Linked DNA regions of Ovis aries. The protein of the gene in region 2 interacts with the protein of the main gene of each other region in a pairwise test. Links are inferred from orthologs where the notes say so. Each region holds a gene or a part of one and is shown on either strand. Other genes may lie near its edges. The genes, in order: MIEF2, AGTRAP, ACSF2, UBE2I, MYG1, RMDN2 and LNX1.

The links.
Region 1: the proteins of AGTRAP (region 2) and MIEF2 interact in binary tests that used the Homo sapiens proteins (3 or more experiments, as listed by UniProt). The two-hybrid records come from large-scale screens. The link is inferred for Ovis aries from reciprocal best matches to the Homo sapiens genes AGTRAP and MIEF2.
Region 3: the proteins of AGTRAP (region 2) and ACSF2 interact in binary tests that used the Homo sapiens proteins (3 or more experiments, as listed by UniProt). The two-hybrid records come from large-scale screens. The link is inferred for Ovis aries from reciprocal best matches to the Homo sapiens genes AGTRAP and ACSF2.
Region 4: the proteins of AGTRAP (region 2) and UBE2I interact in a two-hybrid assay, tested with the Homo sapiens proteins (2 studies listed by BioGRID and IntAct). The two-hybrid records come from large-scale screens. The link is inferred for Ovis aries from reciprocal best matches to the Homo sapiens genes AGTRAP and UBE2I.
Region 5: the proteins of AGTRAP (region 2) and MYG1 interact in binary tests that used the Homo sapiens proteins (3 or more experiments, as listed by UniProt). The two-hybrid records come from large-scale screens. The link is inferred for Ovis aries from reciprocal best matches to the Homo sapiens genes AGTRAP and MYG1.
Region 6: the proteins of AGTRAP (region 2) and RMDN2 interact in binary tests that used the Homo sapiens proteins (3 or more experiments, as listed by UniProt). The two-hybrid records come from large-scale screens. The link is inferred for Ovis aries from reciprocal best matches to the Homo sapiens genes AGTRAP and RMDN2.
Region 7: the proteins of AGTRAP (region 2) and LNX1 interact in binary tests that used the Homo sapiens proteins (3 or more experiments, as listed by UniProt). The two-hybrid records come from large-scale screens. The link is inferred for Ovis aries from reciprocal best matches to the Homo sapiens genes AGTRAP and LNX1.

Annotation. Positions count from the first base shown.
Region 1 is NC_056064.1:34,132,896-34,137,158, forward strand, and holds the start of MIEF2 (mitochondrial dynamics protein MID49), read right to left. Parts: upstream 2,801-4,263; 5' UTR 2,696-2,800; intron 2,490-2,695; coding exon of another isoform or gene 2,427-2,489; exon of another isoform or gene 2,399-2,426; intron 1,688-2,398; exon of another isoform or gene 1,612-1,687; intron 79-1,611; 5' UTR 68-78; coding exon 1-67. Other genes in the region: FLII (protein flightless-1 homolog), read left to right, coding at 2,427-2,489, 4,000-4,110. UniProt on the Homo sapiens protein: Mitochondrial outer membrane protein involved in the regulation of mitochondrial organization.
Region 2 is NC_056065.1:41,204,312-41,208,390, reverse strand, and holds the start of AGTRAP (type-1 angiotensin II receptor-associated protein), read left to right. Parts: upstream 1-1,279; 5' UTR 1,280-1,354; coding exon 1,355-1,489; exon of another isoform or gene 1,490-1,510; coding exon of another isoform or gene 1,511-1,537; intron 1,538-4,079. UniProt on the Homo sapiens protein: Appears to be a negative regulator of type-1 angiotensin II receptor-mediated signaling by regulating receptor internalization as well as mechanism of receptor desensitization such as phosphorylation.
Region 3 is NC_056064.1:35,974,818-35,978,317, forward strand, and holds part of ACSF2 (medium-chain acyl-CoA ligase ACSF2, mitochondrial), read right to left. Parts: intron 2,190-3,500; coding exon 2,082-2,189; intron 904-2,081; coding exon 752-903; intron 1-751. UniProt on the Homo sapiens protein: Acyl-CoA synthases catalyze the initial reaction in fatty acid metabolism, by forming a thioester with CoA. Has some preference toward medium-chain substrates. Plays a role in adipocyte differentiation.
Region 4 is NC_056077.1:1,565,832-1,569,995, forward strand, and holds the start of UBE2I (SUMO-conjugating enzyme UBC9), read left to right. Parts: upstream 1-1,364; 5' UTR 1,365-1,478; intron 1,479-1,842; exon of another isoform or gene 1,843-2,082; intron 2,083-2,305; exon of another isoform or gene 2,306-2,386; intron 2,387-4,164. UniProt on the Homo sapiens protein: Accepts the ubiquitin-like proteins SUMO1, SUMO2, SUMO3, SUMO4 and SUMO1P1/SUMO5 from the UBLE1A-UBLE1B E1 complex and catalyzes their covalent attachment to other proteins with the help of an E3 ligase such as RANBP2, CBX4 and ZNF451.
Region 5 is NC_056056.1:133,200,041-133,204,098, forward strand, and holds the start of MYG1 (MYG1 exonuclease), read right to left. Parts: upstream 2,801-4,058; 5' UTR 2,767-2,800; coding exon 2,551-2,766; intron 2,371-2,550; coding exon 2,258-2,370; intron 1-2,257. Other genes in the region: PFDN5 (prefoldin subunit 5), read right to left, coding at 3,522-3,598. UniProt on the Homo sapiens protein: 3'-5' RNA exonuclease which cleaves in situ on specific transcripts in both nucleus and mitochondrion. Involved in regulating spatially segregated organellar RNA processing, acts as a coordinator of nucleo-mitochondrial crosstalk.
Region 6 is NC_056056.1:86,123,972-86,127,471, forward strand, and holds part of RMDN2 (regulator of microtubule dynamics protein 2), read right to left. Parts: intron 2,868-3,500; coding exon 2,765-2,867; intron 712-2,764; coding exon 651-711; intron 1-650.
Region 7 is NC_056059.1:69,720,114-69,723,613, forward strand, and holds part of LNX1 (E3 ubiquitin-protein ligase LNX), read right to left. Parts: exon of another isoform or gene 3,467-3,500; intron 3,370-3,466; exon of another isoform or gene 3,287-3,369; coding exon 3,134-3,286; intron 1-3,133.

The DNA.
Region 1 (4,263 bases), on a different chromosome or scaffold from region 2:
AGTCTACAGCGCCTCCCAGCACCTCGCCGTCACGCCGCTTGCTCCTATTCTGGGAGAACTCCGCCATGGTCAGTCTGCCTGTAAGGGAGCCAGGGTGCAGGGGCCACTCAGTGAGGGGCCGGCCTGGCATCCAGCAGGTGCTCTATGGTCAGAGTTGGGGTCACAAGGGGGCTTCCAGAGAATTTCCGATGAGAAAGGGGCCACCTGCAGGTTTTCTTGGGAGGAGACTGGGAGCTGGCCCAGAGACCTCCCCCAACCAAAACCTACAAACAACCCACCTGTATGACAAGGGGCTCACAGAGAAAGACCCTAAGACCCATGGCGAGGTCAGAGAAGGGAGACAATCTCCCTGATCCCACCTTCCAGGCCCCCTAATGTCACTAAAGACCATGAGGTGGGTCTTATCAGCACCATCCCCATTTACAAAGAAATAGGTTGCGGACCACACAATGAGTGGTGGGGACTCAGACCCACCCTATGACCAGGTCCCAGAAGCAGCCTTATCCTGGTTCCTAACCAGGCCCTGCAGGAGAAAAACAAGGCCCAGAGAAGACCATGGCTTGGGGACCCAGGCAGCCTGCACTGGACAGCCTCAGGCCTTTGAGGGAACCTCAGCGAAGTTCAGGGGGCCACAGTTACCCCCAAATCTCAGCAGGGCAGCCCCCAGAGGCAGGGCCACCAAGTCAGAGAACAGGACAAGTGAGATGCCCCAGGATGCCCTGGGGGCAAGCGCTGGCTGTCAACAGGTATGTGTCAGACAAGGCTGAAGGCTCCACTGTGGGGACAGGGTGTAAGGGGACTCTAAAAACCACAACAGGGCTGGTCCAGTGCCCTGGACAAGGGCCTCTAAGACTCGGGACAACAGTGGGTGGGGAGGGGTCTCAGCTGCTGAGAGCCCAGGCCACAGCAGGTGAGCTGAGGGCCTGAGTGTGCCAGATACTCTTAGCTTGTCTGTAAGATGGAGCAGGTGCCACGAGAAACCATTAGACATGCAGAACCCAGAAGTACAGATGGCTGGGACCTCAGGCATCTTTGCCAGGCCCTGCAGGCTGAGCCCCAGCTCTCAGGCCCTGAGCACTGAGGGGGGTGTGTGACCAAGGGACAAGCCCAAGGGACCAGTCAGATGGCCAGGCAGAACTGTCACCCTGAGGATGCCTGAACAGATGACGCTGAGCTCAGAGCCAACTCAGCCCCAATGACTTCTGGCTGCCCTGCTCCCAGAACCGGGTGCCGGAGCCCGGTTGCCAAGTGGGGCCTGCAGCCCCGCACCCATCCCCCTTTCCCAAGCTAAAAATAGGAAAGACAGCGGAGGGGGTTGACCCAGCATGGCCCGGCGGCGGCTTCCTTCATCAGGACTGCCAACCGCCTCCAAACTGTAAAGCGCTCAAAGCCCCTGCCTGTCTGACCTGGGGCCCGCAGACCCTAACCAGGGAAGGGGAGAGGGAAAGGCCACGCCTCCCCTAGCCTCCTCCAAGCCCCGGCCGCGAGGACACCGAGGCCCGGGGAACGCCAGGATGGGCCCAAGAAGCGACCAGAACTCGGCTCGAGCCGGTTCTCTCCCGGCCGGAACCGCGCGGCCGATAGAGGCCACGCCCCGTGCCCCGGCCGTACCTGCGTCGCGGCTTCGGCGCCCCAGCCAGGGGACTCAGGGGGCCGCTCGGGCCGCGCCCCGGGGCCGCCTGGGAATGGAACGTGCAGGACCCGGGAGTCGAACGCCAAGGCCTGGGGCGGGCACGGGCCCCAGGCTCGCAGACGGACAGGCCCCGACTCCAATCAGAGCGCTCAAGGCCAGTGCCCACGTGCCGCCCTGAGGCGGCCTCGGCCAATGGCGGCCGAGCGCCCCTCGGGGCGTGGCTCCTCGGCAAGCTCCGCCTTAAAGGCGCAGGGCCACGCTCCAGGACTCGGCAGGTGGGAACGTGAGCTCCTTCCTGGCAAAGGAAGCATCCGGTGGGGCTCCTGGTCACTGTAGTCTGCGGCCGCCTCTCCCGTGAAGGGTATACTGGTCCTGTCACTTACTGGGACCGCTATGTGCCGGCCCAGGGAGGCCTCCCTCGAGGGGCAAGCGGGCACGTAACCGCGCACCCGGGCTGGCCTCCGACCCAGGACGCATAAGAGTGTGGGCACTGGCCCCGGAGCGTCTCCCGGAGGCTCGTGGCTCCGGACGAGGACCCGGGCGTCCTACTGCCACTGCCGCCCGAACCACCCAGGTCCCCGGCGTTGACCAGCTCAGGAACAGCCGGGGGCCGAGAAGGCCCTTTAGGGCACCGGGACACAGCGCTCCTCGAGGCCCCGCGCCCCAGGGCTGGCCCCGAGCGGCCCCGGGCTGAGAGGCGGGGCCGACGCGCTCCCCGCCCCGCCGGCTCCGCGGTCCCCGCCCCGAGCGCCGGGCCCCGCCCGCGGTCCTCTCCCCTCAGCCCAGCGCCGCCATGGAGGGCACCGGGGTGCTGCCGTTCGTGCGCGGCGTGGACCTCAGCGGCAACGACTTCAAGGTGAGCCTCTGGGCGACGGCCGGGACCCCCAGCCCGCCCCTCCGCTTCCTGCGCGCCCGGGACCGCGGACGGGCTTGCCCGGACCCCGCCCCGGCCCAACGTCCCAGGCCTCCGCCCGGCGCCCGCGAAGACAGCCCAGGCCGGGCGGGGCGGGCGGGCGCGCGTAGGGTCCCGGAGCTGCGCAGGGGCGCGCGGGGTCTGCTCACCGGCTGGGTCCTGGCGCCTGGCCCCAGCAGGCCGGCCGGGGGTCCCGGTCGGAGCTCGAGCTCGCGCCTCCCCAGCCCTCCCCGCCCCTGTGAGGTCACAGCCCAAGCCGGGCCCTGACTCATGGTTACGCCGCCGGCTCTGCGCTACCCGCACCCGCCACCCCCATCCTGTGTGGTCTTAGGCAAGTCACTTCCCCTCTCGGAGCCTCGTCTTCTCGTCTGGTGGAGAGGCTTACCTTGAAACCCCTGGAGGCGGGGATTAGTTGTGGAGGACGTGTTGGGCAGGTGGGCGAGGCCCTGGGTGCCATTTGTCTGAGCAGCTTCCGAACTGGCGGACCAGGGCGGCTGGGAACACCAGCCCAGCCTCGGGGCGGGACAGTGGTTCTTGAGAACTGAGAGTGAGGCCGGAGGGCTGGTGACCAGAGAGGAGGCCCTGAGAGATGGCCTGGTTCCAGGAGGGTCCTCAGGGTGGATGAGTGGGCTGACCCTGGCTGGCGTCAGTGGAGCATCAGCCTGGGTCTGCAGGGTCCAGTGGTCCAGGCAGTGGCTGGGGTCAGGGCAGAGGAGACAGGCCCTTTCTTCCTGTATTTACCCACACTTGCCACCGTGCACACTCCTCTGCCTCCATCCCCACCGTCCTCACCTGGAGTCCCCAAGTGTCCTCTTCAGTCTAGGAGAGTGAGTCACCAGCAGGGAATGTGGCCGTAGGGAGAAGGGGCACTAGCCCAGAGCACTGAAGGCATTAACCTCCCCAGGTTTCTGGCCACGGGGCTGGGGTCCTGAGGTGGGCATTTGAGTCTGGGGGACGAATGGGTGAGTGAACTAATGAATAAGCTATGCCTGTGTGGGAAAGGGTGGGGAGCTGGGGCCTCATGCAGGGGGTGGGTGGCAGGGCACAGGTGGGGCCTTGGCAGAGGCACAAAGTGCAGTTCAACAAATTGCACAGGCAGGGCCTGGATGCAAGGCAAAAACATTGAGTTGATCCGACCTCACAGCTGACTCTGGGGTGGCATCTAGAATAAGCCTTCCTGGGCCAAGAAGCCAGCAGGAGAGGCGGGGCTTAGGTCAGCAGCCATCCTAATCACCAGTGGGTTCTCAGGACGCTTTTGTCATCAGGGGGCTTTCATCAGCCCTATTCTACGGGTGAGAAAACTGAGACAGAGTGGCCAAGTGATGTGTCTGGGGTCACACACACAACTAGAAATGACTATTGCCCCCAAAGGCTCCCACAGACAGTGGGGGCCACAAGGTGGCAGAGCAAGGGTACCATGTCCCAGACCAGCCTCACTGTGACGTACCCGCAGGGTGGCTACTTCCCTGAGAACGTCAAGGCCATGACCAGCCTGCGATGGCTGAAGCTAAACCGCACCGGCCTTTGCTACCTGCCAGAGGAGTTGGCCTCCCTGCAGAAGCTGGTAAGAAGCTTTGGACAGGAAGGGGAGGGTCCAGGTGGATGGGGCTAGCCAGGTGGACAGAGCCTGTGCAGGACATTGCCTGTCACAAGCAGAACTGGTGGAGAGAGGATGAGCACCCTGTCCTGGGAGGTATGCAAGAAGACTAGGTGTGTG
Region 2 (4,079 bases):
GGTTTATAGGAGACATCTCTTAGAAGGAAACAATAATGTTATAATATCCACTAGTTACTGAGGAATTCCTCTTTTCTAGGTACTATGCCAGTAACAATAATTTATGATAATTAACTAATAATGAATATCAAAACAGTAGCAAGTCCTGATCAAGGGCTGTCTGCCAGGCAATGTTCTAAACATTTTTACATATTAACAAATCCTTATTAACAAATTCAAAATAACCATCCTTCAAGGAAGATACTATTATTTCTCTCATTTTACGGATCAGAAAACTGAAGCACAGAGAGGCAAAGTGACTTGCTCAAGTAGAACCAGTAAGTGGACAAAGTTAGGACTCAAACTCTTTTCTCTGGTCCAGCTAGTCCTCTGGGCTCTGAATCCCAACAATCGTGCCCAGTGTAGCTATCTGTCCGGTCTCTGAAGCTTACCAGCTCTCTGTTACTCTGGCAGATGTGCTATTCTGCTCAGGGGGCTGGACAGCTGTGTCTCCAAAAGGGACATTCAAATAGGCCAGCGGACTCCGCGACCTTGCAGAAGACCCCACTGCTGCTGCTGCTAAGGCGCCTCAGTCGTGTCCGACTCTCTGCAACCCCATAGACGGCAGCCCGCCAGGCTCCCCCGTCCCTGCGATTCTCCAGGCAAGAACACTGCAGTGGGTTGCCATTTCCTTCTCCAATGCATAAAAGTGAAAAGTGAAAGTGAAGTCGCTCAGTCGTGTCAGACTCCACACCCACCTGGAAAACTCCGCTCTTTGTATCTAGAGTCTGTATCTTGATAGGATCTTAGGACCCACCCAGCCAGTCTTTCAGGTTTCCACGTGGTCTCTCCCCTCCTGGAAATAAGAATAAGCACTCAGCGGGACAGACCCAAGGGGATCCCAACAGTCTTGAATAAGTCTTCCTTACCTTTAAAGTAAGTGTCAGTATTTTTTCTTCAAACATGAATTAGTTCATTCATCCTCAGAAGGATTCTATGAGGTAGGTAACCGTCTTCACTTTCACTGGGGAAGGAGGGAGGAGAGACTGTGCCCTCAGGGATGAGACACCAGCTGTTACCACATCTGCAGATTGTACTTGGAGGTTCCCCCAAGTTCTCCTGGCTGCAGGTGGTCCCGTCAGCCCACCTGCTGGGATTTTAACTCGGCGAGATATTGCGCCCTTTGCGACACAAATCTGGATATTCTCCAGCCGCCCGCCACCCCGCCCCCGCCCCCGCCCCCGGCCCCGCCCCCGCCCCGGCCCCGGCCCGCCCCCGCCCCCGTCCCCGGCCCCGCCCCGTAACTACCTGGGCAGTGGCGCAGTGAAGGCTCAAGCAGCACGACGCCGTCTCCTAGATACCGGGCCGTCGTCACATGACCTACTCACGTGACCCCCCCCCCACAGCCCAGCTGGGGTTGGAGCTCTGGCAAAGGGCAGCCGGCGGGGCGGGGCTGGGCAAGTTTGTTTCCCGAGTTCGGAGACCAGGAGCCCCCGCGGTTGTGGCGCAGGTGCTGTCCGGTTGGGTCGCGATGGAGCTGCCAGCCGTGAACCTGAAGGTGGCGATGGGCGGGGCGGGTCTCCCGGAGCGTGTTGGGTATTTGCGCTTTTAGTAGGTGATTTTAGAGGTGAGGATTTTAGAGGTAGAGGACCGAGAATCTGGGGAAAGTGGAGTGGTGGGGAGAAAGAGAACGAACAGAGCCCAGGTGTAAGGAGGTGGGCGGACAGACCATACCAGGAAGACAGATCCAGAAGGCCAGCAGGAAAGACCGAGAGGGAGCTGGAGGAGGGAAGCAGCCGTCTCTTCCCTAAGACCGGTTCAGCTGGGAGCGCTGAGCCCCTGAGGCTCGCTTTGGCCTGCGCGCCCAGAATTTCTCTGGAGAAAGAGGAGAGCGTGGTGGGGAGGGACCCAAGGAGAGCCCGAGGCTGGACTTGGAGGCAGGACACCTGCCTTCCACCGAGAGAGGGGTAAAGCTTTCACCTGGACCCCCAACACTGCCCTTACCGCCTCTCTTGTTGGGAAGATCAAGTTAAGGAAATCAAATGATCCCAGACAGATGGTTTTTCAGAGTTGATAGATTCAACGTCTTTATTTCTTAAGCAACACAGACACCAATAGAATTTACTCAAAAGCAGAATCCCCCAACTTTGCACATTTAGGAAAACACTGTAGGTCGCTGGGGTGTCTTCATTTCCTGAGCTGTAAGAATGCCAAAGGCTGTTCTTCTTTTTCTCCCCGCCCTCCTCCAGCCCAGTGTTTCTTGGCTGGGTTTGCCACTGAGAGGCTGAAGCCTTTAGCTTTGGTCAGAAAGGTTTTAGCCTTGGACCAGACCTGCCATCTGCGGCCTAGGTACAGTTTCCTTTGAGATTGTATGCAGGAGTACCCTCTTATTCACCCTTGACAAAGCATTATGCACCCATGGTGTCTGGTCCTAAAGTAAGAGATAGATGACTACAGAACAATACATCATCCATATTTGGATTATTAGACATGGTCTGTGTTGTGACTTCACGTGGGCACATTTCCTTAATATTGAACACTTGCTTCAGCAGACCTCTCCGAGGCTTCCAGTCAACTGCTGCAGGGGGAGAGATGGCTGTGACAAGGGAATGGGCTTGGATTGAAGGTTTAGCAGGGAAGAAATTTACACGAGGGCAACTGAGGTTCATTGGTATCAACATTCACTCTGTTCCAGGCTGTGTGCAGTTAATGCCGACTACCTTTTCTCTGATTAGAGACTTGCCTAAAATAATTATTAAGGGGGAAGGAGGAAAGGGACAGAGGAGCAGGAACTGACGAGGGAGTGAGCCCTAATTCTTAGGGCGTCTGTGGTGTGCCGGGTTATTTATTTAGTCGTATCAACCTTCTGAGATTTTTGTAGCTGAGCCAACTTCAGCTCAGACCAGATAGGTAACTTGTCAAGGCCCCACAGAGATTAAGTGGCAGAGTCAGAATTTGAACCCATCACGGTCAGACTTCAAAGCTCTGTCTTTTCCTGGCCACCATTAGTTAGGGCCAACTTCTGCTTTGACAGTTAGTGCCCAGTGGGAGGGCTTAGTCTGTTTGTGGCTTTTTTTTTTTTTTTTTTTGGAGAAACTTTGTGGGCCTCACAGGCCACACGTGACCACAGATGTGAGCTTTGCCGGCTTTCACTGCCCACAGTGAAATAGCTGGTCCTTTCTTTGACTTGGGAAATAAAACACCATATCTCTAAGGGTCTTAGCTGCTACCAATCAGAGACAAGTAAGTGCTGAGAGGTCGTGAACAGCTAGGGTTGCCAGGTGACATTGAGGACATCCAGTTGAGTTTGAATTTCATATCAACAATGAATAACTTTTTAATCTAAGTATGAAAAGTGAAAGTCATTCAGTCGTGTCCAACTCTTTGTGACCCCAGGGACTGTACAGTCCATGGAATTCTCCAGGCCAGAATACTGGAGTGGGTAGCCTTTCCCTTCTGCAGGGGATCTTCCCAACCTAGGGATCGAACCTAGATCTCCCACATTGCAGGAGGATTCTTTACAGCTGAGCCACCAGGGAAGCCCCAGGATACTGGAGTGGGTTATCCTATCCCTTCTCCAGTGGACCTTATATCCCAGGCAATATTTGGAACAGTCTAGAAAATTATTCATTATCTGAAATTAAAGATTAACTAGGGGTTCTGTTTTTGTTGTTGTTTTTTCTGGCCTCCCACAGGAGTCTAAGTGGGCTATTCTGAGATCAGAACCCCTTGGGAGCTCAGAAAATGCCCAACCCCCCAACCCTGCACTACCCTTGCCCTCCTTTCACACATTCCTGGGGTATTGGCTCAGTGCCTGCTTGTGCCCAGCCCACCCACAGTAGGCAGTGGTGCCAGGTGAACAGAAGCAGCTGCCCCGGGCCCTCCAGGTAGTTCCTAACCCAATGCCACACATGAGGCAAGTCCTGAGCTGAAGGAACGTCATTGTGAGAGTTTAGAAAGTTCTAGACTTGGGTTCATGAGGGCTTGTGAGAAAAGGCCCTTGGGAGGAGGGTGCAGGGGGTTAGTATAGCATGAGGGTTAAGAATTCCGGAACCTGACTGCACAATAGTCAGGGACTGCCTTGTCTCGGGGCTTCCCAG
Region 3 (3,500 bases), on a different chromosome or scaffold from region 2:
CTTAGGAAACACCTACTGTATGTCTTACGCGACTCTAGACTCTGGGACATATGTCACAAACAAGACATTACCTGGATCATACGGGAGGAACTATCTCACATAGAAGGCAGACCAAACTAAGTAAACCCATACCTATAGCATATTTCTCTCTCTCTTGCTCTCTCTCTAGACATATCTATGCATACACCTTTTGGGGCTGGCTTCTTACCATTCAGGTTTCAGCCCAAACATTTCCACCTGAGAGAAGCCTCCTCTGATCACCAAAGAGAAAAGAATCTCCCTTCTCCACCACAGCCACTCTCTCTCCTGTGATCCTGTCTTATTAGTTGTGTTTATGAATGTAGGAAATGATCTTGACTGTATCTGTCTCCCTCCATCAGACATGTGGGAAGTAATAGCAGGATCCTCCCCTTTGCTTTCCCCTGGACCACCAGTGTTTAGAACAGTACTAGCACATGGCGGGTGCATAATTAGAATTTGTTGAATTAAATGACTGCCTGAATCTAGGCTCAGATTTTGCAGGCACTACCCTAGGAGTTCTCATCTGTACTGTGTTTGGTCCTTCCAGGAGCCCTATTTGGAGAATATGATCATCCTCATTTTATACATTTTTGAAACTAAGTCTCCGAGATGTGAAGGGGCTATCTTGACAACTGGTTCTCCCAGTTCTAGTTCAGTGTTCCCAACTCAGCCTCAGGACCCCCAGCTTCCCCTTGGCAGCCAACCGCTCCACCCTGCCCTGCCTTCTCACCCCGTCCGGTACCACTTGTCCTGTCCAATTGCTTCCTCGGTCTTCCGGGGCTCACCCCAGTAGCCCAGCATGACGCAGTACCCTCGGATGCACAGCTCTCCAGGTGTGTGCAGCTCTGTCAGCGTCCCCGTCTCCATGTTCACAATCTGGGCCTGGGACCAGGCAGCTTCAGGCTGGGGCCTCCCACCCTCTCACTTCAGGATGAGGGGCCTCAGGAATGGGGAGAGCTTTGCCTTCTTTCCCCCTATAATGAAGCCCCCTGGCTCTGCCCATCCCCAAGGAATGGAGACGCAGGCTGAGTAGATCTTTCACCAGTTGGGTACCTGAGCTGGACATGAAAGAACAGCTGAGGCCCAAGTCAGGAGGTGCTGAGGAAACAGAGTGGGTGGGAGCTGCTCAGAGAAGGAGGCCAGAAGGGGGGCCAGGCCAGCTAAAGAATTATAAACTGTGCAGAAGGAAGGGAGTCTCCTCTTACTTCCCACTAAGCAGTAAATAAAGAAGCCAAAGAGGGTGGCAGAGCAGGGCCACGTGAACAGGAGAGGCGGCAGACAGGCAGAATCTGAAAGCCTGGTTGAGAAATGAGCCATAACTGTTGGGCAAGGAAAGCTTAGCGCCTGTGCCTCGTGTCTGCATCTGTGAAATGGGGAGAACCGCACCCAGCCTGTCTGCCTCACAGGCGGGCCTCTCAGTGAGTGACACATGGGAGGGACTGGTGTCAGTGCACACTCACTTTAGGGAGGAGAGAGGTTGGCCCGAGGGGAAGCACACTGGCAGTAATCCCAGAGGGGCAAGGTCCAAGGCGGGAGGGGAAACAAGGAATGCTGGCATAAGCACCAGCACTGTAGGCTGGGAATTTGAGAGTGAAAGGTGCTCTGGGTCAGTCTTCAAGATGCAAGGGACTCCCAGAGGGAGAAGCTATTTGGGAAACTGTTTATGCCAAGCACAAAGAGGAAATCTGCTGAAATGAGGTTGGAGGTGGGGGGGAGAAGGCTATGGGAGAGAAAGAGCTGTGTAGGAAAAATCTCTGTGCTCTGGCTCCTCTATGAGGCTGTTCTGGCTGCCCCAAAACAGACAGTGGGCTTGGCAAAAACACACCTCAGACAGGAAGGGAGGCTGCAGAGAAGTTCAGCTGGCAGCTGGCCACTGTTCCAGCTCTTCCCAGTTCAGGCCTCAGCCCACAGAGAAAGCCCCAGGCCAGGCCCAGGAAGACCTCGTGGCTGGGGGCTCTCAGTGTCTGGAGTGAGCTGTTTGGATCTCTTATTTGAAAGCAATAAATGTCCCAGGGGCCGCACCCAGGTGAGTGGTGGGAGGGGGGGTGTCTGGGGCCCACCTCTGTGTGAGGCATGACTCTGCCCACACTTTCTGCCTTCTGCTCCACAGTGTCCTCGGTGAAGTTCATGAAGGTCACGGGGCTGTTCTCTGTGGTTCCATAAGCCACCTAGAGGAGCCAGAAAGGGTGTTTGGAACAGAGCCTGGGGAGCAGAAGGATGGGGAAGTTACTTTGAGGGAAGGACCTGGGGTGGGGAGTGGGTTGTGGGGGATGGAAGCAGTTGAACAGTGGGAAAAGAGGCATATTTGGCAGAGGTCAGGGGTCAGGAGGCAAAGGCACTGGATATAGAATCAGACTAGCTCAGCTAGCAGGGGGCCCAGGTCTGAAATAAAATTGAGACCAGGGAAGCCATTCTCTTCCAGCCAGGCTCTCACTCTTCCCGGTTGCTTGCAGCAACCACATGGTTTAGCCTGTGGCTCCCAGTTACCAACATCTCAGCTTCCCCACCCCATCCTCAGGCTGTCTTAACACCCCCTTCCTGATTTCAGGCTATAGCATCCCCTGCCCCTTCTTTCCAAGCTGAAGAATCCATAAATTTGATGAGAAAGCCAGCCCGCCTTGGCCCAGATGGGAGCTACACAGATACCAGCCACCTACCCCTACCCTGCCCCATCCACTCGAAACCCAGGATAAATGCCTGGTCTTGGGGTAGGGTGCCCCCCCCCTTCAAATTCTGGAAAGTTTCCTGTAAATTTGTTTTGCTCAAAATAAAAATACAGCCAACGCAAGGGTTTACAAAGCCAGTGGCACACACCCTAGCCCCCCTTCTAGTGGTTGGAACATCCTGAGCAACAGAAAACCAGCAGTCAGCCTTGGAGGAATACCACAAGACAGTGTTCTGGCCCAAGTATGACCCCCATCCAGAGGCAACGGCTGAAAGGGGCTTAGGAGACGGCAGGCTTCCGCACCTGAGTGCTGGATGAAGGGAGAGGGGCTGGTTAGGTTCCTTCCAGCCAGCAAATACACCAGACCTCTGTTCGTCCCGCAGCCCTACCCTACCCTCAATTTCCTCTGTGTTAGCGGGCATGAATCACGCATAGCTGGGGTCTGGCAAGACTTGGGGTCTGGTTCCTCCTCTCACCCCCCAACACAGACAAGAACTCCTACCAGTCAGCCCAGAGCTTGCCTTGGGGCCAGAGCTGTGACTCTTCCTGCCCACCCTCCTGTTTCCATCGTGGCTCAAGGAGACACACAGAGACCCAGTTGGCCGGGGTAGGCCAGCCCGCAGGACCTGGGGTCGTGAAGCCTGAGCTGTCGGGACCCAGCCCTCTCACCCACCCTTACAGTCCTGGGGCCACTGCCCAGGGGTGGCTTCTGCCAAGTACACCTTGGCGCCACTCTGGCCACCCCCCTGAGAGAACCACCCCCCACAAAGGGTCCTGACCACCGCAGGGTGGGGTGGGTATGAGGAGATGTGGA
Region 4 (4,164 bases), on a different chromosome or scaffold from region 2:
AGAGAGACCTGGAATGCTCACCTGCTGCTCAGGGGGTCTGGGCCCTTACCCGGGACCCCAGGCACTATAACCAGGCCCTCTGGGCCACAGCTGACCCAGAGGCACCCTAGGCAGACTACCTCCCCAGCCCAGCGGAGCTACCAGCCTCAGGAGACGCCCCCACCTCAACCCCACGCCCAGCCCGGGGCCTTCTCAGGGCTAGTGACCATCCTCACTGTAACAGACGGGCTGGGAGCGCTGAACACCTGCTGAGAGCTCTGGCCCAGACGTGGGCCTTGGGACACTAGCCTTGCGGGGGCGGGGGGGGGGGGGGCGGTGCTGGGCGGTCTGCCCTGGAGGCCAATAGTCTCAGTACAGTGCCAAATAGGGGGCTGCCGGGGGTGAGGGTGGGGAGGATGGAAGGAAACGGAGGAAGGAGGAGACCCAGGGCGAAGGGGTGAATGAATGCAAGCTGGGGGCCGGGGTGGGGGGGCGGTCACCTCCCGCCACTTGACCCCAAAGAGCCCACGGGCGGAGGGGCTGACCTTGGAACGCTCCCTCTTTCCCACTCTGGGCCAGGGGACGGGGGTCGGGGGCCGCTAGACGGAGAGGCGCCCAGCGTGGCCGGGAAGGACAAGCGTTCGCGCGTGGGTTCGGGGCGGACCTGAGACCCCGGCCACAGGGGCCTAGCCCTGCCCCTGCTCCTCCCCCACCCGCCCGGACCACCCGGCGCCCCTCCCCCCAGGCCAGCCCCTGGGTTAGGGAGCGTCTGCACTTCTCCTCCCGTCGGTCGGGCCCGCACTTGGTCTTGTGTACGGGGCCTGCTCATTGGGCACATTAGACGGATGCCCCGCCCAGGGCCCCGAGTTGGCCAATCGCAAGGGGTTTCACAGCATGCCGTAGGCGAGAGATTGTCACCGTGCTGCGACGCTTGGGGGATCCCTAGGCCTCAGTGGTCGTTGCTCCTCCGCCCCGGGCCCTAGCCTCGAGGAGACCTCCGGGACCGCTGCCTGGGGAGGTGCCCGCGGGGCATCCGGAGAGCCCGGGGAGATCTCGGCCGCCCTGCTTCCCCGCCGCTACCCGGCCGGTCCTCGCGAGGAACAGTGCCCCGCGAAGGGGAGTTTGCAGACGCTCCCTCACACCCGGGACGCGGCCCCTTTAAGGACGCAGGTGTCCATGGCGCCGCCTGACTGGAAAGCCGCCTCCGGGCCGGGCTCCCGAGCGGGGCCCGGGGCGCGGGCGCGCGGCGGCGGGACACGGGCAGCGGGCGGCGCTCGGCGGCGCGGGCGGCGCGGGGCTGGCGGTGGCGGCGGCGGGGTGCGAGCCAGGCGCGCGGCGGGCAGGCCCCGCAGGCCCCGCCCCGCCCCGCCCGCGCCGGGGTCCTCGAGCGCTCGGGCTGCGCGCGGAGCGGGCTCGGGAGGGAAGTCCCGAGACAAAGGGAGCGCAGCCGCCGCCGCCGCCGCCTAGTACGCCTCGCTCGCCGGGCCGGGCCGCCCGAGGTGAGCGCCGCGGGGCGGGCGCCGGGCCGCGGGGGCCCAAAACTCCGCTGCCGGCGGGTCCGGCCGGGCAGGCGCCCTCCGCGCGCGGCCCGGCCCGTTCCCGGGGACCGGCCCGCCCCGGGCTGCTGACGCCGCGGCGGGGGCCAGCCCGCCGGGCTCCCTTCGGGTAGCCCGGCCCCCGGCCCGCCGCGGCCTCGGCCCGCGAGGTGGGGGCGTCTTCTCCGGGCGCGCGCTCGGGGCGAGTCGCGTCCGGGGCGGCCGACGGCGCGCTCGGCTCGGGCCGCGCTGACAGGAGCGCCAAGCCCTCCGCTCAGGCGGAGCGTTTCCGGGGTCACGGTCTGCGCGCGAACCTGTGGCGCGTTCCAGCCTGGTAGAGGACGCGCTGCACAAAGAGTGCAAAGCCGCGCGCTGCAGGAGCGCCGGCGCGTTTGGGGGTGGCGTGTGATGCCTGGAAACGAAAACAAGCCAGAGCTCTTGCGCCTCCGAGCTCCGCTCGCCGTTGCGGGGGACCCACCGAGTGTTCGCTCTTCCCTTGACGGGGAGATCTCGTCCCAAGACCGCTTTATACCAATTGCACGGCGGCTGGAGCTGATAGTTTTCGCGAGTAAGAGGAAGGCGAGGGAATGATTAGCTGGGCTGATGGTAACGGCCAGCAGCTGTCCTTGAATCACAGAAGTAACTGGTTTGGTTTGTACGATTTGAAAACAAGCTCCGTTGGCAGTTTCTCCCCGGTTTGCGGAGTTGGCTTTCGTTGGTCTGCTCTTAAGCCCGTGGTCCTCTGTGTTTCTTGCTCCCAAGGAAACTGCCTTTGGACGGAGAACCTGCCCAGCAGCAGGGGGAGAAGGAGCCCACGTTTGTGCTGACTTGATTTTGGGTGGGTTGGGGGTGAATTCTGCATCGTGCTGCACGTGAGTCTCGCTGGGGGTTTGGGCTTGCTTTGGAAACAGCTGGGCGTCCTGGGAGGCGTGTCAGGAAAGACCAGGGAAGTGCCCCTGGGCTGGAGGATCTCCTGAGCGCAGGTGAAGCCAGTGCCTTCCTTCTCCTGGCGAGCTTACGTTTGGGTGGGAAAGCCCACCAAGGGCCGCGAGCCTCTATCGGTTTCATCCTGGGCCGACCTCTGGGCTCACAGTGCTATCGCCCGTTTTACCGGTGAGAAGGTTGAAGGGGAAGAGGGAAGCCGTTGGCCCTCACCTGCAGCCGGTAAGTGGCTTCAGAGATTGATCTGAGAAGCGTGGGTTCAAGCACAGCCCACGCTGGAGAAGGGTGGCTGCAGACTTCAAGGGTCTGCCCCAGACCCGGATCCTGTGCTTCAGGCTGTCTCTAGCAGGTCATAGATACCCGATCTTTGCCTCTTAGTGATTTTGCTGCCCTGAAGACTGCGCACACTTAACAGCTCCTTAAGTGCCTCCCTGTCAGTTGGGAAAAGCTGATTGGATTCTAAGTGGGATGCTGAAGGAGTGGTTCCGTGTTGTAATTAAAATGTAGCAAATTGGCTGCTTTCTCCTGGGCAGCGAGGCCAGCCTCTCTCTGGGCGGGGGCAGGTGTGCGCCTGTGACTCCGCCATGGCTGCAGCATCTGTCTTTCAGGTGCCCAGTTTGGTTCTCACCCCCAAGGACGGGGTTGCAGCAGCTCTTGTGGGACACCCCTCCCATTACTTTCTGCACCTGAGACAGTCACAGCTGGCGCCCCAACAGGGTCTGCTGAGGCGGCTTTGTTCCTTGTCAGTAGAAGAGGTGGCCTGTGGCGGGGTCCTGGCATGCGGTCAGCAGGCATGCGGCACTGAGGATCACCCCACCGGCCTTTTCTACATCCTGGCCTAGCCATGCCGCTCCAGAGCCCTCGAGTGCCAGCTTGCCCATTCCAGAACCCATGTGCTGCCCAGGCTCCAGGAACCAGTCTTGAAGCCTTGCTGAGCGCAGACTCAGCAGGAACTTCACAGTGCACGGAGAGCCAGGCTGCTTGTCTCTGCCACTGAGCTCCCGTGTGGGACAGTTTAGAGGTGGTCCTGGCCCGTGAGGGGCTCCTGTAGGATTTCCGCACATCCCTAAGCCCCCACCAGGGGAGGGAGAGGCGTTCCCATCTGCCCTGGTGATGAGGCGGGGGCAAGTTCTGTTTAGAAGGGTGATGTGAAGTGAAGGGTTTTCAGGCTTCAGGATTACTGCCCTCATGTTCCCATGGACTTGAAAGCTGCTTGGCACTCCCCTCTGCTCTGCCAGCTCCCCACCTGAGGGAAGTGACCCCAGCATCTCCCACTCTGTCCTGTTTGTGGACAGTCTGGTGCTGCAGGCAGTGCCCAGGTGGCCAGCAACCACCACTAGGACCCAGGGGCACCAGCACGCCCACGTCAGCCTTCGGGCAGCCGCACTTGTGGTCTTCAACTTATATCACATGAATGAATGAAAATACCAGATGGGTGTGCACGTGTAGGGAAGGAGACCCCAGACAGGGTCCTGTCCATCAGGTCCACAGATGAGGAGGAGGTGAGCGGGCCAGGACTGGAGGTTCGGGGGTGGCAAAGAGAAATTCTCTTTGGGGTGTGGGCCTTCTTGCTTGGGACTTGATCTTGAGGTTGGGCAGGGTTAGAGCCTTTGAAGAGTGTCCTCAGTGGTCAGAGCCGGGCAGCAGCTCCTGTCACCAGGCCTCCTGCGTGGGAGCTAGAGTTTCACGCTCGCTTTCCCTTGTGTTG
Region 5 (4,058 bases), on a different chromosome or scaffold from region 2:
TGTAAACATCAGAGATGAAAAAAACTAAGACTCTGTCCCTGCCTTCAAGTTTATCTTCCTAAGGCACACGGACAGGGACACATGGCCACACACAGCCCCCACGCACACTCACATGAGCAACCAAAGGAATGCTCCAGCTGGTTATAAACAAGGGCTCAGGAGAGGAAAGCACTTAGGAGAAGAACCTTCAGGTCATTCTTGGAAGATGAATTAGTGGGTGTGTGCCAGACACATAAAGGGGGAAGGAGAAAAGGCATTCCAAGTAGCGGGAACAACATGTATAATGCCTAAGAGAGAGGTATCCATGGATCTGCAAGAAAGCAGCTTGGGATGAGGAATGAGAGGCAAAAGATAAAGCAGGAGTTGGACCAGGGCAGGCCTTGAATGCTACACTTCAGAGTTTGAAGTTTATCTGTAGGTAAGGAGGAGCCACTGAGAGACTTTAAGCAGGCCGGAGCGTGTCAGAAAGTGCGTTGTGCCAGCCAGCATGGAGAAGAAATCCAAGATCACCTGCAATGTGCCGGGTGAGTGAGGAAGGCAGGGACTTGAACAGCCTTGGGACAGAGGGCACGGAAATGGTATGATAGTTGTTAGAACAGTAGAAACCACAGCTCTAATTTCTAAATACCAGTCCAGTGGTATCACCAAGGAAGCTCATTTTTTCGTTCTAATGACTTTTATTATTAAATATTTATTAAGTAAACACAAAAGTACCTATAAAATACTCATAAGGTATAAAGACTAATAAAAATAATGTCCCAGAAAAGATTCAGGAAGAAGCAAAACTAAATAAATAGTTGATGCAAACAGATAAGACATAAGTGCTAAACTGTACACAAGAGCAAGCAAGGACATGATGAACACAAAACTCAGGATGTTGCTTACTCTTGGGGAGGTGGGGTTGGGATGGGGAAGAGGCACACAGGTACAGGTGCTAAGATAATGGTCTATTTCTTCAGCTGGGAGATCAGTTCTTGGGTGTTCATTTTATATTCCAGAAATATTAAATATATTGTTTTACATGTCAAAAATGGCACAAATTTTTTTTAAGTATATAAAATTACCAGAAAAAGGACGCAGTCAATTACATCAAGTGCCACAAAGAAGGCAGTTAAGGTGAGAGGGTTAAGGTGACAGGTCAGTCAGTTAACCCTCAACCAGCAACCTGAGTCTGGCATTGAGGTCACTGGTGCCCTTTCCACCAGCATTTCCGGTAGAGAGATTGGAAAAGACCCGGCTGAATGAATGATAGGATGGATAGAAGCAATGAACTGAAAGAAATGTGGAGCCAGGGTCAGCTCTTCTTTTGAAGAATGCCTGAGAAGTGAGGGTGAGATTAGGTTGTATACACTGGGAGCATTCCCTCTCCACATCACTATGAAAAGTAATATGTATACTTAAAGAAGAGAAAGACAGGGAGGGAAGGAGAGAGAGAAAGAGAGAAACAGACTTCAAATACCCTCATGATACCCCAGAGATAACCATTTTAAACAGCGAGGTGTATGTGCGGGAGGGGGTTATGGGTTTTTTTCAGTCCTTTGTTTTCAAGACAGGAGATGCGTAAACAGAGTTTCTTTCTTCAGATAAGAAGTAGAAACGCTGATATAGAGTCCCAGAGCAGGAAGTGATACACTGGAAAAGGGGCAAACAGAACGGTTTCCTGAATTGGAAAGAGGGAGTTGATTCAGGAGGGAGAAACTGAGGAAGTACCCGCAGGAAAAGCTCAATTTCTTTTGAAAGAAGAGAGACAGGATCACTCACTGAGAAAGTTTGATGAGGTAGGGGCTTGAGGCGAGGGAAAAGGATTGGAGAGGTACTGGGGATTCTGGCCTCTCGGCCAGAACGATCTCCCAGGGGTAGAGTGTCAATGACGTAGAAGACAGCACACACTCACCACCTGCCACAATCACGTGGGCCCAGCAGCCTGAGGTAGGGCAGCAAGGGCACAGGAATGGATTAATCTCTGCTGGGGTATTCAGTGAGGTAAAGATAAGGCTGCTGGGAGAAAAGCCTGGCGGAGCCAAAGAAGGAAGTGAATCGGGAAGGGCCCCCGGGGTGACCAAGGGACGCCACGGCAGACGCGAGGGCTCAGCGAAGCACAAAGCCACCTAGATGGGTGCAGAGTAGGTGGAGCACTGGAAGCATGGGAGACAGCAGTCCCATGGGATTCAACATGAGGCGGTTCCCTTCGCTGACAAGAACCACGGCAGTGGCCTGGGGCACTGAGAAAATTAAAGGAATGGTAGTGAGTCCTCACCTCTGGTGATGGTCATATCGGTGTCTCTGAGGGTCGTACTCGCCACCCACGTCTACCACGATGTCACAAGCAGCCAGTTTCTCGGGGTCTCGGGTCCGCACGATCTCTGCATCCTGCAGGAGACACAGGAGGTGAGGGGGTTGCCAGGGTCGCACGGGTAGGGGATTAATGTCGGGCTTCCAAGGAGCAGAGGAGGGGAGAAGGGTGCTCGGGCGGGACACCTCTAGGAGGACGCGGTCCACCCCGGAGATTTGGCGGCATCCCCCGGGTCAGTTCGCGCGGCCTGTACCTACCCGGTACTCCGGCAGGAGGCGCAGCAACGCGCACGCCAGCGCCTCATCGCAGTGGAAGGTGCCGTTGTGCGTCCCGATTCGGGGCGGGGCCATGAGGTGGCTGCGGGGTCGTTTGGAAGGTGGGACAGGCTCCAGGCTGAGCTTGAGATGCGGGCTCCGGAGCGGTGGCGGCGGCAACAGCAGAGGGAGGAAACCGCGCAGGAAGCGGCGGCCCATGCAGCTTCCTCCACGAGGAGTTAGTAAGAGCGCCGACCCGGAAGGGGAAGCGCCTGCGCAAGCCCACTTCCGGTTGCCAGCTGTTCCTATGGCAACGGGCCGCGCAGAGGGCCTGCCACCCAGCATTGAATTTTTAAAAATTATTATTGCTTTTATTTTACCCAGGGCTGGACCACTGCTTTGCTACCTGGTGCCCAAAGTTGCATTAAAAACAATGCTGAGAGATCATACCTTGAAGTATGGCATTTTGATGGCATTTCCCATCTTCTCAAATTTCTATACCACAGTTCACTTATTTTTAATTTAATTGGAGGCTAATTACTCTACAATATTGTATTGGTTTTGCCATACATCAACATGAATCTGCCACGGGTGTACACGTGTTCCCCATCCTGAATCCCCCTCCCCATACCATCCCTCTGGGTCATCGAAGTGCACCAGCCCTGGGCATCCTGTATCACCAGCATTGAATTTTGACTCTAGTTCCTCACAGATTCCCAAGTGAAACCCCCAAGATGAGCACTGCATCACTCCTGCTTATCAGGTTCTGGGCAGGGGCACACCCTCTTAACACCGCCCTCCCACCTCCTCACTAGTCCCTTGCCTAATGCAAGAAAAGACCACCACTCTGCCCAGTTGGCTCATTTATTAGCATTAAACACAGACCCTCTTCTTTCCCCAATCCGGGAAACCACATCCACAAAGTCCCAGGCCCCGGAAGCAGGCACCCTCTGCCCCATTTCTGAAACAAGCTCTCAGGCCTTAGCGGTAGCCTGAGCTGCTCCCAGGGTTGTGAGCTGCTGAATCTTCTGGCTCATCATCTCCATGACAGCTGTGGAATAAAAGAAGAGTCAGACCCTGGGCAGGAGCTAAAGGGGAGAGCTCAGAGTTAAGGAAAATTGACAGGTAGACTACTACAGTTATTTAACTTTCAACACAGAGATTCACTGTAGAGGGCAAACACAACACCAATTTAGAATCTAAATTGTCAATAATATGAGATGTGAAAGTCACTCAGTCATGTCTGACTCTTGGAGACCCCATGGACAGAGCGGCTCCTCTGTCCATGGGGATTCTCTAGGCAAGAATATTGGAGTGGGTTGCCATTTCCTTCCTCAAAGGCTCTTCCCAACCCAGGTCTCCCGTATTGCAGGTGGATTCTTTACTGTCTGAACCACCAGGGAAGCTCATATGAGAATAATATGAGAACCACTGGGATATAAAAACGAACAAAATACAGTTTCAAATGAGTCACATATACCCAGAAATTAATAATGTGGAAAAGATGTTTG
Region 6 (3,500 bases), on a different chromosome or scaffold from region 2:
AAGCATCTCTGAATAATAAAATAATCCCAAAGAGGTGTGGATTTCTGAAAACCTAGGTCTGAGAGAAGGGTCATAGATAAATTTATTACTAGCACCTAACATATCTATATTGCTGGGGAAAAAAAATAATTAAGGAACTGAGAAATGTTGCAAAAATGCAACTGTGAGTAAAATGAAATATTCATTAAAAACAATACATTTATTCTTGTGTTTTATAATTCTAAATATACAAAGGATCCAAAACAAAACAATACTCTCAAGAATAAATTTCTTGTCCCAAGGATACCCACCTACAACCATCCAACTAATTAAATTTCCTTTGTTTGAGTTTTCTTATATTAGAAATGGCTTTTCTTTCACTTATGGAGTGTGTATACCTTGTCATCAAGGTATAATGGCTGATGTGCTTTTATTCTTTGAAGCATTCTCCCTACATTTAGAAACATGGCATCATTTTAGCATTTGTTTCCAAACAAAATCTTATACAAATATAATTTAATTCGAATTTATCATATTCAAAGTTATTGGACTTGGTAGATTCAGTTATGAAATATTCAATGAAAGTTTATCTTAAAAACATTTAAAATATACATACTGAAAAATACATGAGAATAAACAGAACAATTATTGCATAAATTTTATGTACTTACCATAGATGACAATATCCATTCTTGGGTGCTCTCATAATAGCTTTTTCACCTAATGTCTTTCCTGAAAGATAAATGTACTTACAGTTTGGTACCTTCATGTGAGTTGGTAGGAGGTAAATTATTGAATTAAGCCAGTAGTTCCCAAAAGTATGGTCCTAATACCAGAAGTCATTACCTAGAATCTTGTTATAAAAGCAAATTTGGGGCCACATAGAAGACTTACTCGATCATAACCTCTGAGACAGCTATCTGCATTAACTGGCCTTTAGCGGGTTAATGGCCTTTATTTCTGATACAAATTCAAGTGTAGACTCATTGGACTAAGTGATTTAACCAAATGCAAAAGTCATTCGATCATTATTAATAGATACTGCTTTATAATTAACTCAACCAACATTTACTGAGTACTTTCTAAATGTCATTGTGTGAGCCCCTGGGAATAAAAAGTCAAATAAAACACAATTCTTGACCTCTAAGAATTCATTGTTCAGTAGGCAGCAGGTATATAAACAAAGAAATTATGTATAAAGATAAAGGTTAAAAAGAGCATAGCAGAGAATGGAGAGAGCAACTCTATCTAAAGGAGTAAGGGAAGGTGTCCCAGAGAAGCTCTTATCTAACCATTCATGATAGTGAACACACTCAGTGCATAAATAATTCCCCTAAATAATTTAACTTCATTTTAGAATAACTTTTAATAATCTGTTAATTTCTGGATAGAGGTTTGTCTAAACCACATTCTCAAAATCTTTCTCAAAAAGCTGCTGTTTTATTTCATACACTCTCCTTTTCTCTGCTCTTTTTCTTTTGCTTGAAGAGCAATGTTGTGATCCAATGATTTGAAAAATGCTCTTCTAAATAAGTAGTTTAGATAATCTTTATAAATAAAGATCTTTTATTCTAAAATCATTCTCCTGTTTGTTAAGGTGGTATTCTATAGCTCTCTCCATTAAGAGAACCACGCAGTGTAGAAATCTACACAAATTGGAAAAAAATTAAAAAGCAGTCTCTTAAAATGACAACTGATATTACATTGTGGGCATATATTAGAAGAGTTAATAATTTGATAATGAGTGCTTGAAAAACATAAATATTTTTAATGTATAAACATTAAAACTACATCAACATCTTACCTACATTACCAAGTGAACAAAAATAGCTTTGAGGGCACTGCCTAAAATAGAGGCAATTCCATCGCTCTGAGAATATAAAAGGGAGCCAGGTAGTATACATACTGGTTTTGTACCCTCACTGATGCCGCTTCAGCCTGAAAAGAAACCTATTTCCCGTAAAAAAATTTTTATTTTGTGGTCTATTTGTGTCCATCATCTAATCTTGAAAGTTACAAATATGTTCTTTTAGATATGATTCATATTTGATTTGCAAGACAAGTGTGATCAGTCATAGGACTTCAACAGATGTACTGCAAAAATGGGACACCACAGTTAGCAGGTTAGGAAAGAATTTTATACTCTCCAGGGATCCAATCTTCCCTCCACATAACAAGTTCAAATATACTGTCAGGAGGAGCAAGAGTCGGCAAACTCTTCCTCCTTCATACTGAGTGCCCATGCCCTTCAACTCCAGTCTCCAATTTCCTGCTTCTCTGCCAGGCACTTATTACCTGTGCACTGAATTACAATTGCCTTTCTCTGTACTGATCTTGTCAGATCATTTAGCATTCTGGCTGTTATTCTTTTGTTGTTACTTTAGAAAACAGGATGATATAATGAACAATCATGGACTCATCACTCTGCTTAAACAATTGTCAACTCAAGGCTTATCTTGTTTTACTGAGATGAATTTTGAAAAAACATTAAAGTCTGAGTAGTTATTTCTTTGTGATACCTGGAGTTCTATGTTATAGGAAGTAAGAAGGGTTATTTTAATTTTGGTGAAAGACTACTATTATTATTGCTTTTCAAATTATAACCACTTAATGTATCATCTTTCTACGATTTTATAAATTTTGAAAGCTGGAATTTGAGTTTTTCAGTTGCCTATTTTAATATACTCAAATATTTTTAAAGACCATATACTTTTATCTAAAAATTCATTTGTGTTTACTATAATGATTACTACCTGAGAATAATTAATATTCACAAAATACTTACCAATATTAGCATAATGCTTCTTTTCTTGTGTATTTGTAGATAGCTCATACATGTCTCCATAAGCACGAGCAAACCGCCAAATAAACTCTATTTCATCTCTAAACTGAACACACAGAACTGCCCATTAGATAAACTTAGTAATGTGACTATACCACTGCAACCTTTTAAAAAAATTAGGTAGGTAAACTGGTACTTAGAAATGACTGCATTCATGTGCATATCACACTTTAAATTGAAATATTCATGGCTATAAAGTGTGATCTAGTGTAGTGTTACATTTGGGTCTTAGAAACCAATGAATATTATGCAGACACCAGTTCCGCACCTATGAAGAAGAGAAAACTAAGTGTTAGAATTTATGAATTCTCTCTGGGTGGTAGTATCCTCTCCTTGCTTTCCTTTCTAACTTAACTACTGTCAATATGATGCCTCAATGGGCATTTCACATAATATCTGTAAGTTATTAGAGATTACATATATTCAAAACAGCAGTCACATTTTTTTTTACCTAAATTACCTAAAGAACAATGCTAGAGATTTAAAAACTTTTGAGTTCATGTATTTAGAGTTTCTATATCCTCAAAAGTTAGCCTTAAATTTCTCATGGGAAAGAAGATTTATGGATCTTTGTGATATTGCAAAATCCTTTCTTCCCCTTTGGTGGTGGTGGTGGTGGTGGTGGTGGTGGTGGGAAGGATGAGCTTTGTCAATTCAGTCCAACACTAAACACTGAAAA
Region 7 (3,500 bases), on a different chromosome or scaffold from region 2:
GGCAAGAGAAAACTTTATGTGGAATATAATTAAGGAGGCTTTTGCTTTTGAACTGTGGTGTTGGAGAAGACTCTTTTTTTTTTTTTAATTTTAATATCTTTAATTCTTACATGCGTTCCCAAACATGAACCCCCCTCCCACCTCCCTCCCCATAACATCTTCCTGGGTCATCCCCATGCACCAGCCCCAAGCATGCTGCATCCTGCGTCAGACATAGACTGGCGATTCAATTCTTACATGATAGTATACATGTTAGAATGTCATTCTCCCAAATCATCCCACCCTCTCCCTCTACCTCTGAGTCCAAAAGTCTGTTATACACATCTGTGTCTCTTTCCCTGTCTTGCATACAGGGTCGTCATTGCCATCTTCCTAAATTCCATATATATGTGTTAGTATACTGTATTGGTGTTTTTCTTTCTGGCTTACTTCACTCTGTATAATCGGCTCCAGTTTCATCCATCTCATCAGAACTGATTCAAATGAATTCTTTTTTACGGCTGAGTAATACTCCATTGTGTATATGTACCACAGCTTTCTTATCCATTCATCTGCTGATGGACATCTAGGTTGTTTCCATGTCCTGGCTATTATAAACAGTGCTGCGATGAACATTGGGGTACATGTGTCTCTTTCAATTCTGGTTTCCTCGGTGTGTATGCCCAGCAGTGGGATTGCTGGGTCATAAGATAGTTCTATTTGCAATTTTTTAAGGAATCTCCACACTGTTCTCCATAGTGGCTGTACTAGTTTGCATTCCCACCAACAGTGTAGGAGGGTTCCCTTTTCTCCACACCCTCTCCAGCATTTATTGCTTGCAGATTTTTGGATCGCAGCCATTCTGACTGGTGTGAAGTGGTACCTCATTGTGGTTTTGATTTGCATTTCTCTAATAATGAGTGATGTTGAGCATCTTTTCATGTGTTTGGAGAAGACTCTTGAGAGTCCCTTGGACTGCAAGGAGATCCAACCAGTCCATTCTGAAGGAGATCAGCCCTGGGATTTCTTTGGAAGGAATGATGCTAAAGCTGAAACTCCAGTACTTTGGCCACCTCATGCAAAGAGCTGACTCATTGGCAAAGACTCTGATGCTGGGAGGGATTGGGGGCAGGAGGAGAAGGGGACGACAGAGGATGAGATGGCTGGATGGCATCACTTACTCGATGGACATGAGTTTGAGTGAACTCTGGGAGTTGGTGATGGACAGGGAGGCCTGGCATGCTGCGATTCATGGGGTTGCAAAGGGTCAGACACGACTGAGCGACTGAACTGAACTGAACTGAATAAGCTGGAAGACTGGCAGAAAGGAAGTTATGATCCTTTTAGTCATTGCAGAAACATTCGGTGAAAACTATTATGTACTAGATACTGTGCTTGGCCTTGAGAACACAAAGACTTAGATAAAGAACCCCTGCCCTCACTGGTAGAGTTACAATAAAAGATGACATTGCTATAACAGAGATGCAGGTGCTTTGAGAACACAAAGGAGAGAGGACTGGGGGAGTCAAGGAGGGCTCCCAGGAGGAGGCAAAGCCTAAAGAGAAATTAGGATGCCAGCTGAAGGCAAGTGAGAGTACAGGTTGGACAGCAACATGGAAGTGAGAGAAAGACAGTATTTACACGATGGCAGACTCCAGCGTTCTTGCCTGGAGAATCCCAGGGATGGGGAGCCTGGTGGGCTGCCATCTATGGGGTTGCACAGAGTCGGACACGACTGAAGCGACTTAGCAGCAGCAGCAGCAGTGAGAGTACTGAGAGCATGTAGTACAGGTACAGGGTAAGAGAGGTAAGAAGGAGCTTATACAACTGCTCAAAGTTCTCTGAGAACATGATAAAGACAGAGGTTTGGGGTTTAGCCACCAGCCTTGAGGGGGCTTCCCTGGTAGCTCAGATGGAAAAGAATCTGCCTGCAATGCAGGAGACCCAGGTTTGATCCCTGGGTTGGGAAGATCCTATGGAGAAGGGAATGGCAACCCACTCCAGTATTCTTGCCTGGAGAATTCCATGGACAGAGGAGCCTGGGGGGCTACAGTCCATGGGGTCTCAAAGAGTCGGACATGACTGAGCAACTAACACTTTCACTCCCCAACCTTGAAGGAGCAGAGGGCAGTTTAATCCAGTGAGTAAACGAGTGGGCTCTGGAGCCAGAGGACACAAATTAAAATCCCAGGACTGCCATTTTCCAGCTGGGTGACTTTGGGCTAGTTACCCAGTCTCTCTAAACCTTGGTTTCTTCTTCTGTAAACTGGGAATCACAGTCCCCATCTCTTATCATTGTGACCTTTAAATGCCTTAGAGCACTGCCTGGCACCCAGGAAAGCTCAAAAGCATTCTTTCAGTTATTATCATTACTGCTGTGAAGCTCTAGCGTAAGATGAAAAGGAAAGGACAGGACAGTATTTTCTCAGCTCCATTTATAGTGAAAAAAAGATATAGAATCTAAGATCCAGAAACGTTATTTGCGTGAATTTTAGAGCCACATTACTTGGATTCCAAGTTCAGAAGGGGCAAACTAAGTAATTGCCTGGTACCTTAGTTTCCTCATCTATAAAACAGGGATGATAATTGTAGCTCCCTCATAGAGTTGTTGAAGAGTACATGAATTAATACATAGAAAACCCTCAGAATCACACATCACACAAGGTGGAGATAAGAATACTCATATGGCATTTCCTGTGTGCCAGGCACTGTTCTAACTGCTCTTCACTTAACTATATTATTCTTTATATACACTAAGCTAAGACCTGAAGGTAAGGGTTCCAAAATCTTTTCCCTCAATCTATGTAAAAAGAGAACAGTAGGGACTTTCCTAATAGCCCAGTTGTTGGGAATCTGCCTTCCAATGCAAGGGATATGGGTTTGAGCCCTGGTTCAGGAACTAAGATCCATGCCAAACTAGAGAAGCCGGTGAGCCGCAACAAGCACCCAATGTAGCCAGAAAAAAAAAAAAAAAAAAAAGGAAAAGTAATTTTTGCCTTTGGTTACTTATATAAGTAGAGTAATCAAGGTAAAAAATATTTATGCCCTTAGGAAGACAGGTGTCGTAGAAAGTAAGGGCTAGTCCTGTGGTCATCACCCCTGGCGTCATTCTAGAAGCCCAGGCCACGCCCAGCCTCATGGGGAAGCAACTTACCATCAAGGACAGTGGTGTTTTCAGAATCCTCTCGTCCCTGGTCAGCTTGGCTGACAACGGTACTTCCACTCTTTGTCCTTCGGAGAACACTCAAGGCTCGGTTTATTTTTTTAAAGGATCTGCTTCTGATGGTGGATCGCTCAAAGGGCCGTGCTGAAGACAAGAGAGAAAAAGGTCTTTTTAATGGACACGGCTGGCAAGATACACAACAGACTGCAAACGGTGATTACTTCGAGGTAGCAGGATGATACAATTTGCTTATCTGTATGTTCTCAGTTTTCTACAATGAAATATGGACGGTTTATTTAAAATCTGCTTGTCATTTTTTCCTAGGCTGGATGGAATATAACAGCACTTTTCTCGAGTT